Ovis aries: one gene and its partner. The protein of the gene in region 1 purifies or fractionates together with the protein of each later gene. This does not show direct contact. Links are inferred from orthologs where the notes say so. Each region holds a gene or a part of one and is shown on either strand. Other genes may lie near its edges. The genes, in order: RABGGTB and RAP2C.

Region 1 (3,106 bases):
ATATTTTTAAAGAAAAACTCGATTCTGTTTAGCTCTCCACATACTTTAAATTGGGTCTGTAAAGACCAGATAGTAAATATTTTTATCTTTGCCTCATGGGCTTGTTGCAGCTACACTGCTGCCCTGAAGAACATTGTTGCCACAGACAATAAAAAATGAATGGGTGTGGTTGTATTCCATTGAAATTACTAATGGACAAGTATGAGTTTCATAATCGTTTTCCTTTCACAATACTGTTTTTAAAAATCATTTACAAATACTAAAAGCTGTTCTTCGGTTTAGGCCCTTGAGCTAAAATATGATAAAGCATAGTGATGCTTTTATTCTGGGTCATTGTATTTTTGTGTAATTTTGCTTGCTTGTTACTTCTGAATAAGTTTAAAAACCATAAGTGGTACTTAGTTAAAATCCATGGAAAAATCTGGGCAACTTTTCAATAATTAGGAAATGGGTGAGGGTGGGGATAGCACGTACGATCTAGGACAGCTTTTAATGTTCTTGTGGATCATCCTGGGATCTAGTTGAAATTCAGTGTAAGGTGTGGGGTCTTCTGCATTTAAGTTATGATTTGATGAGCAAGGGTGATTTTATTTTTTAAACCAAGTTGTATACCTTCCTGGACAGCACTGAAAATGCTGCCCATGGCAGTGGAACGTATGTTGCCATAGTTGTAAGCCTTACTACCAGTTTCTTGGAAAAGGGACTGATGTAGGCATTCATTTCATATAGAAATTAAGGTGGGTGGATGGTTATCAGTGAATACTGAAACGAACATTTAGCATGGTTTTCTGTGGAATCAAGAATCTGCCTGCAGTGTAGGCAGCACAGGATACATGGTTCAATCCCTGGCTCAGGACGATCCCCTAGAGAAGAACATGGCAATCCACTCCAGTATTCTTTGCCTGAAAATTTCCATGGACAGAGGAGCCTGGTGGGCTACAGTTCGTGGGGTTGCAGAGTGAGACATGACTGAGCATGCCTGCATACTCATATTCTAGTTCTGTGGAATGAAGCATTTGATCTCTTTTCCAATGATTATCTTTTAATTCTAAGCAATTTTTGGATTTCAGTGTTTCAAACACTGCATTGTCAATATATCCCTTGATTCCCCTCCCACCCCAGGTATTTAGAAAATACGTTTGTGGCAACTTGTGGCTTTTTCCTCCTAGTTACCAGATGTATGCTATTCATGGTGGGTGTTGGCTTCCCTAAAGATAATTGGAAGGCTTCATTGGATTGATAGAGAAAAGCTCCGCAGTTTCATCCTAGCATGTCAAGATGAAGAAACAGGAGGATTTGCAGATAGGCCAGGAGATATGGCAAGTATACTTAGGACTGTTAATGTAACAGTTAAAATTTTCAGCGTTGTTCTAAGATTCTAAGGGTTCTAAATTTTTAAAACTAGGAATTGGTGGGGAACAAATAGTATTTTTCAAGTGTTGCTTTGAAAGGATGCTTTTAAAATGTCATTTAAAAGTGTACTAAGGTGCTTTTCTGGTGGCTCAGATGGTAAAGAATCTGCCTGCAATGCCTAAGACCCACGTTCAATCACAGTATTCTTGCCTGGAGAATTCCATGGACAAGAGCCTGGCAGGCTACAGTCCATGGGGTCGTAGATTCAAACGTGACTGAGTGATTAACACACAAAAAAGAGTGTATGAAAGATCTGAAACACATTTACAGTACTTATGCCTAAGAAATGAGTGTGTGTGCCAAGTCCTCTGTTTAAAAAGTGCAGTTTGAAACCATTATTTCAGAAAATTTTAAGAGAATATTTATATAGAGTGCAATGGGCTCCAGTATAATCCCTGTTCAAAAGCAGGGTTTTAGAAGTTTTCATTTTGTAATATTCTATAAATTCTTGTTTTTTAATAGGTAGATCCTTTCCATACTCTGTTTGGAATTGCTGGATTGTCACTTTTGGGAGAAGAACAGATTAAACCTGTTAGCCCTGTTTTTTGCATGCCTGAAGAAGTACTTCGGAGAGTGAATGTTCAGCCTGAACTAGTGAGCTAGATTAGATCCCTTGATGGAGAAGTTGGTTAATATAGTTTTTATTGTGTTTTAACATTTCAGTAGTTGAAGTGCTTAAAAACTTAACAAACTACCGTGTTAATATTTTGTACATGAATTGTGTTAATTTTAATAAATTATAATTATACATATTGTAAATTAAGATCTTTATTGTATCTCTCCTTCTGGAATGCTGTTGTTACTCTGATTTTTTTGTTTATGCTTCAGTATATTTTCTTGTATGTCTTCATAACAGCAAACTTGAACTCTCTTTAGCTGATGATTCTGATTTTCCTGGGTACTCCCTTGATATGTTATATATAACTATAGTTAATGTAGATTGGTCTTTGTCAGTGAGAATGTTACTGATAAAGAGTTGATGAACCACATAGGAATTAAAAGATGAAATAAAAATAAATGGCTGAAATTTGGGAATATTTCATGCTTGTGGTTAATGAGTTGGGTACAGAGTGGGTTAGGTAAATGAAGAGAATTCACTAAGATGAGGATTGCAATCTGGACTAACACTTTAGTCACTTTTTAATATTTTATGTCAGAATGCCAAGGGATTGTTGGCATTTTTTTCCTACCCAGTAAGGAAATACAAGCTGATACTTGACACACTAATCCTTGTGTTCTTGCAGAAAAAGTATTTTAGTGAGCATTTTTCTTGATGAAGTTGAAATTTGCTGAAGCAAGTTTGCAATAATAACCCTAAGAGTAAAGAATTTTACATGTGAATAGTGATGATTTCTTTTAACACATTGAGCAATGTCTGCTTTTCATGTTATTGAAGTGTCTGGCATTGTTTTTGACAGTTCACTAAGTTTGGGTTGAATTACCAGTGTTTCTGAAAGTTTGGGAGCCATTGAATGGCACACAATTTTATATAAGTGGTATCATTGGAAGTTTTGAGTACTGCGGTCACTGCACGTGGGTGACTGAGTGGTTTCATATTCTGTATCTGATTTCACAATTGAATGAATTCGGTAATGGACTGAATTCATCTAATGGTATCGAGTATTTTCTCAATCCTGCTTTCTCTACCATGTTGAATTACTGTGTCTATTCAAGAGAATCATGGCATCTGGTC
Region 2 (4,365 bases), on another chromosome or scaffold:
AGCCCTTGGCTCTCAACTGCCAGGCTGTGCTCTCGTCGCTAGTCTTTATATTCTCATTGCCTAATAAAAGTAAACTGGTGAACAACTGGAGTCTAATGAGATAATGTATGTGAAAATACTTTTCTAAGTATAGAGATGTTTGGAGAGGACAGGAGGAGCAGGAGGAGGCAGTTTAAATGGGGCAGGCCTGTCCACTGATCCCTAGACAGTTAGGATATTGGGTTTGGTTTGGTTTTGAGGAAAGGATGATCGACAAATTTTTTTCTCCCTTCAAATATTATGAAATTATATTTATTCCTTTTTTTCCCCAAGAATACCTTATTACTGTCTTAAAATTAAAATGACACACGGACATGAAAATCCTTTCACAATATCCTTCACTAGTAATTAATGACTTTCAGGTTTTAATGGCTATATAACTATATGTTGCACCACTCCCACATATTTTACACAAATGGGGGCAACTACATATTTGTCCCTGGTGGCTCAGTGGTAAAGAATCTGCCTGCAATGCAGAAAGCAAAGGAGACGCAGGTTCAATCCCTGGGTTGGGAAGATCCCCTGGAGGAGGGCATGACAACCCACTCCAGGATTCTTGCCTGGAGAATCCCATGGACAGAGGAGCCTGCTGGGCTACAAGTCCATAGAGTCTAAAAGAGTCAGACACAACAGAAGCAACTGAGCACACATGTATTTGTTCAGTATCTTGCTTTTCCTTCATCCTTACAATATATCTTGGCCATCTTTTCATATCAGCATTTACAAATATACCTTTCTCTTTTTAATAGCTGCACAGTATCCTATTTTTGAGTGTATACACACATTATTTTTTAAATCATCTATTGAAGGATGTTTAAGTTACTTCCAATTGTTTACTTTCCTAAACACTGTAATAAATACCCTTCCTAAGAAAGTTTAGAAGGATCTTCGGGCTATGTGACATCTGTCAACTCTGTAGTCGATGACAGTGACCCAAACAGACTCTGCACCGAAGGGAGAGGTATGTTTCATTGAGTAGAGAAACAAACAATTCTCTACAAAATACTGTAGCCAACAAGTTCAGAGATAGTAGAGTTGTCAACAGGTGAAGCCACCTTAGCAAGAGGGGCACCCTGTTTTGACAGTTTAGTAACAGCAGAGACTTGAGGCAATTACTCAGCACTGATTGTGAGATCAGAAGAGGAATTTCCCTGTCACAAGCAGGGCTGGGGCAGGGCTGTGGGTCCCCCAGACTGTCTGGAAACAGACAAGGATGGGCAGCAGAGCTCCAAATCAGGCAACAGCACGTGTGAAAAAAAAAGCAGTGACTTGTGAGGAAACTCATAATTCACAGACCAAATCTCTTCCAGCAGAGGGCAGTGCCTCAGATATCAGGCGGGACTCGGGCCAGCTGGAGCCAGAGCTGGAGACTTCGCGGGACAGATTACACCAGCTCTAGGCTGAGAAGAAACTGAACTGTCCTTTGGATACTGTAAGTGACACTGGGGAATACTGGAGAGACACATCAGGACTTCTCACTAATTTGCTTGTTTTCTAATATCTAACAATTGGGGCTTGGTATTATACAGTTGGGCCCTTAGGGCTTGCAAGGGGGATTTGAGGTCATTTTTAACTCCACTGGCTACTTACTCTTTCAGCTTTCTGTGTGCATGCCCGAGTCAAAAAGGGAGTGACATGCATAAAATATAACCTAGGCTTCTGACCCCGGGGCTCTGTGGATGTGACACAAAGTTTACAAATAGAAAGCAGAGGGAAAGATATGTAAGAAGTAACAATTTTATCTAAAAATAGAAACTTTGTGTGTTTAACCTTAGAGTCCTTTGAATTTCAAAGATTATGAAGCATGGTCATTAAAACAAAGTTTAACTTGGGAGAGCCAAGTTAAATTGCTGTGCCTTACAAGACAATGAAAAGAGTTAGTCTGCTGGCCTAAACAATTGCCAATCCACGCTTCCTCGCTGCGTAGCGGTTGGAATCAAAAAAGAGGCAAAACTGAGTTAGAGTACCTTAATAAAGTCTACTTCTAATCCTGCTGTTTTTCGAGCCTGGTGATAAAAAGGAAAGGAGCGACTCTGGCATTTGCTGGTGGAGACAAGGCAGATTTGCCAGGTGATAAAGTACCCTGTGTTGTGTGTGTGTTCAATTATTTGTCAGCACGGCTAAAGAAAACACACCACAGAGGAAATCAGAACCATTAGTGAAGTCGAAGGCTAGTTTGCACGCGTTCCTTCGAAAAATACCAAGTGGAAGGAAGACCAGCAAAGAGAATCCACTTTCTCGGCTGTTTTATTTTCTCTGCCGCTTCTAGTCCGGGGATGTTTGGCTTGTGCTCCGGGTCATCAGATCCGCCCCAGGCCGATCGAGTCTTCAGGCCGGACTGGGGGCCCTCTGAGACGCGGAGAGGCTTCCGCGAGGTCGGGGTGGGACTATCCACATCAGCAGCAGCAGAAACAGCAGCTGCGGGCGGCCGAGCGGAAAAAGGAGACTCCGGAGGTCCCGAGAGAGGCCCTTTGCCAAGGCCGTAGCCCAGACCCGAAACCGTCCCCGCTGTCTCGCCCAGCAGGGCGCGGCCCCAGCGCCACCCGGCTCGCCCCGGAGAGGTGGGACTTTCCCCACCGGAAGTGATCCTGTCCAGTCTCGGGGAACTGGGGCACCTCAACCAGTGTGTCAGGGAAACCCTTCCGGGTGTGTGCTGGGGGGGGGGGGGGGGGGGGGTGAGAAAAAAAAAGAGGTGGGTTCGCTTGGAGTCCCAGCGGCCGCCGCCGCCGCCGCCGCCGGACGGCCCCCGCCCCTTTCCCCTCTGCGAGCGGTAGCGCAGGGGAGGCGGTGAGACCGAGGAACCAGCCTCTCGCCATGGCCTTGGCGTGACAGAGTTTCCCGGGCGGCCGGGCGGGTGCGGACGGCAGGGTAAGCGGCGGCGGTGGCGGCCGGGTCCGGGTGGGAGCCGCAGGAGGCGGCCGGCCGGGCTGCCGGGCTGGGGCGGGGGTCAGGCTGGTAACGCGCGCCCTCTCCCCCCGCTTCACAGGCCGGACGACACCCGCGGCAGCCGCGGCCCAGAGACCCGCCCGGGCGACAGCGACTGGAGCGGAGCCCACAGGCCCGGGCCGGCTCGGCGGCGCGAGCAGGAAGCGGGGTCCCTGGGCCCCTTTGTGTGAAGGGCGAAGGAGGGGTGCGGGGCAGCCCCCGACCGCGGGCTCCTTGGACGCCTGTCTTCCCGCGGGGGTCCCCGTCGGTCCTGCGGCGTCCCCCCCTCCACTTCCCTTCGGGGGGCGCGTCTCGCCTCCCCCCGCCCTCCTCCGGGCTGCTCAGGGCTCGCCCTTTCCCCACGCCCCCTGCCTGGGCTTCAGTTCCTATAGGAAGGGCATTACCATCCCATCCCCACCCACCCCGACACTTCGCTCTTTCCCCTCCCCCTCCTTTAACTTCCTCTTCTTCCCCCGTCCGGCCCTCGGCTCCTCTGCACTCTCCTCCCGGGTTCGCAGATTTCCGCCCACCTTCCGCCTCTCCGAGCAGCGCCGCAGCGAGCGGGGTGTTATTTTTCCCTCCCTTTGGTAGGAGTTGGTGAAGGTGAGACTCAATGAGGGAATACAAGGTAGTGGTGTTAGGGAGCGGAGGGGTTGGCAAATCCGCCCTGACTGTGCAGTTTGTCACTGGGACTTTCATTGAGAAATATGACCCCACCATTGAAGATTTCTACCGCAAAGAGATCGAAGTGGACTCTTCCCCCTCCGTGCTGGAAATTCTGGACACCGCAGGAACTGAGCAGTTTGCTTCCATGAGAGATCTCTACATCAAAAACGGCCAAGGTTTCATCCTGGTTTACAGTCTGGTTAATCAACAGTCTTTTCAGGTAACCAAACCAAGTCTTATAATTTGTAAGAAGGGGGTGTGGTAATCCAACATTTACTTCTGGTTTGCTTGCACCGTGCGTAAATGACTGTTTTGCTTTTGAAAGTTAGACATGGCGCATTTTTGAGGTTACTCCTGGCACGGAAAAGTACCCAGTTGTTTCTGTAGAGAGGACTAAAGTCGCAACCGTCAACAAATGTTTTAAAGTTATTTTTAAGTGAAAGAGAAGTGAAAAAAGAAATGTCAGCTTGTGTATGTTTAGCCTGGACTATAGCCTTCTGAAGTTGCTTGTTCAACTCCACAAGCCTTCGTTAAGGTACTCAAGCAAACAACATTTAAAAGATAATCTCAGGCAAATAGAGCACTTTGTAAGGAAAATTATTTGGAGACGATTATCTGTTCCACAGATAAATTCCTCTGCGTCTGCTTCGCCCTCCCCCTTTTTGTTCTCACCCAAGTCTCTCAACCAGATTTCTAAATCTTAGGGCTACAAGATGATGAACTCAAGACCTGCCT

Evidence for each region.
Region 2: the proteins of RABGGTB (region 1) and RAP2C purify together in Homo sapiens (co-immunoprecipitation; 3 studies listed by BioGRID and IntAct, counting the BioPlex papers as one, with this or other methods). This does not show direct contact. The link is inferred for Ovis aries from reciprocal best matches to the Homo sapiens genes RABGGTB and RAP2C.

The regions. Positions count from the first base shown.
Region 1 is NC_056054.1:52,028,593-52,031,698, forward strand, and holds the end of RABGGTB (geranylgeranyl transferase type-2 subunit beta), read left to right. Parts: intron 1-1,169; coding exon 1,170-1,323; intron 1,324-1,875; coding exon of another isoform or gene 1,876-1,879; coding exon 1,880-2,016; 3' UTR 2,017-2,450; downstream 2,451-3,106. UniProt on the Homo sapiens protein: Catalyzes the transfer of a geranylgeranyl moiety from geranylgeranyl diphosphate to both cysteines of Rab proteins with the C-terminal sequence -XXCC, -XCXC and -CCXX, such as RAB1A, RAB3A, RAB5A and RAB7A.
Region 2 is NC_056080.1:102,670,251-102,674,615, forward strand, and holds the start of RAP2C (ras-related protein Rap-2c), read left to right. Parts: upstream 1-1,398; 5' UTR 1,399-2,685; intron 2,686-2,802; exon of another isoform or gene 2,803-2,907; intron 2,908-3,025; 5' UTR 3,026-3,577; coding exon 3,578-3,850; intron 3,851-4,365. UniProt on the Homo sapiens protein: Small GTP-binding protein which cycles between a GDP-bound inactive and a GTP-bound active form. May play a role in cytoskeletal rearrangements and regulate cell spreading through activation of the effector TNIK.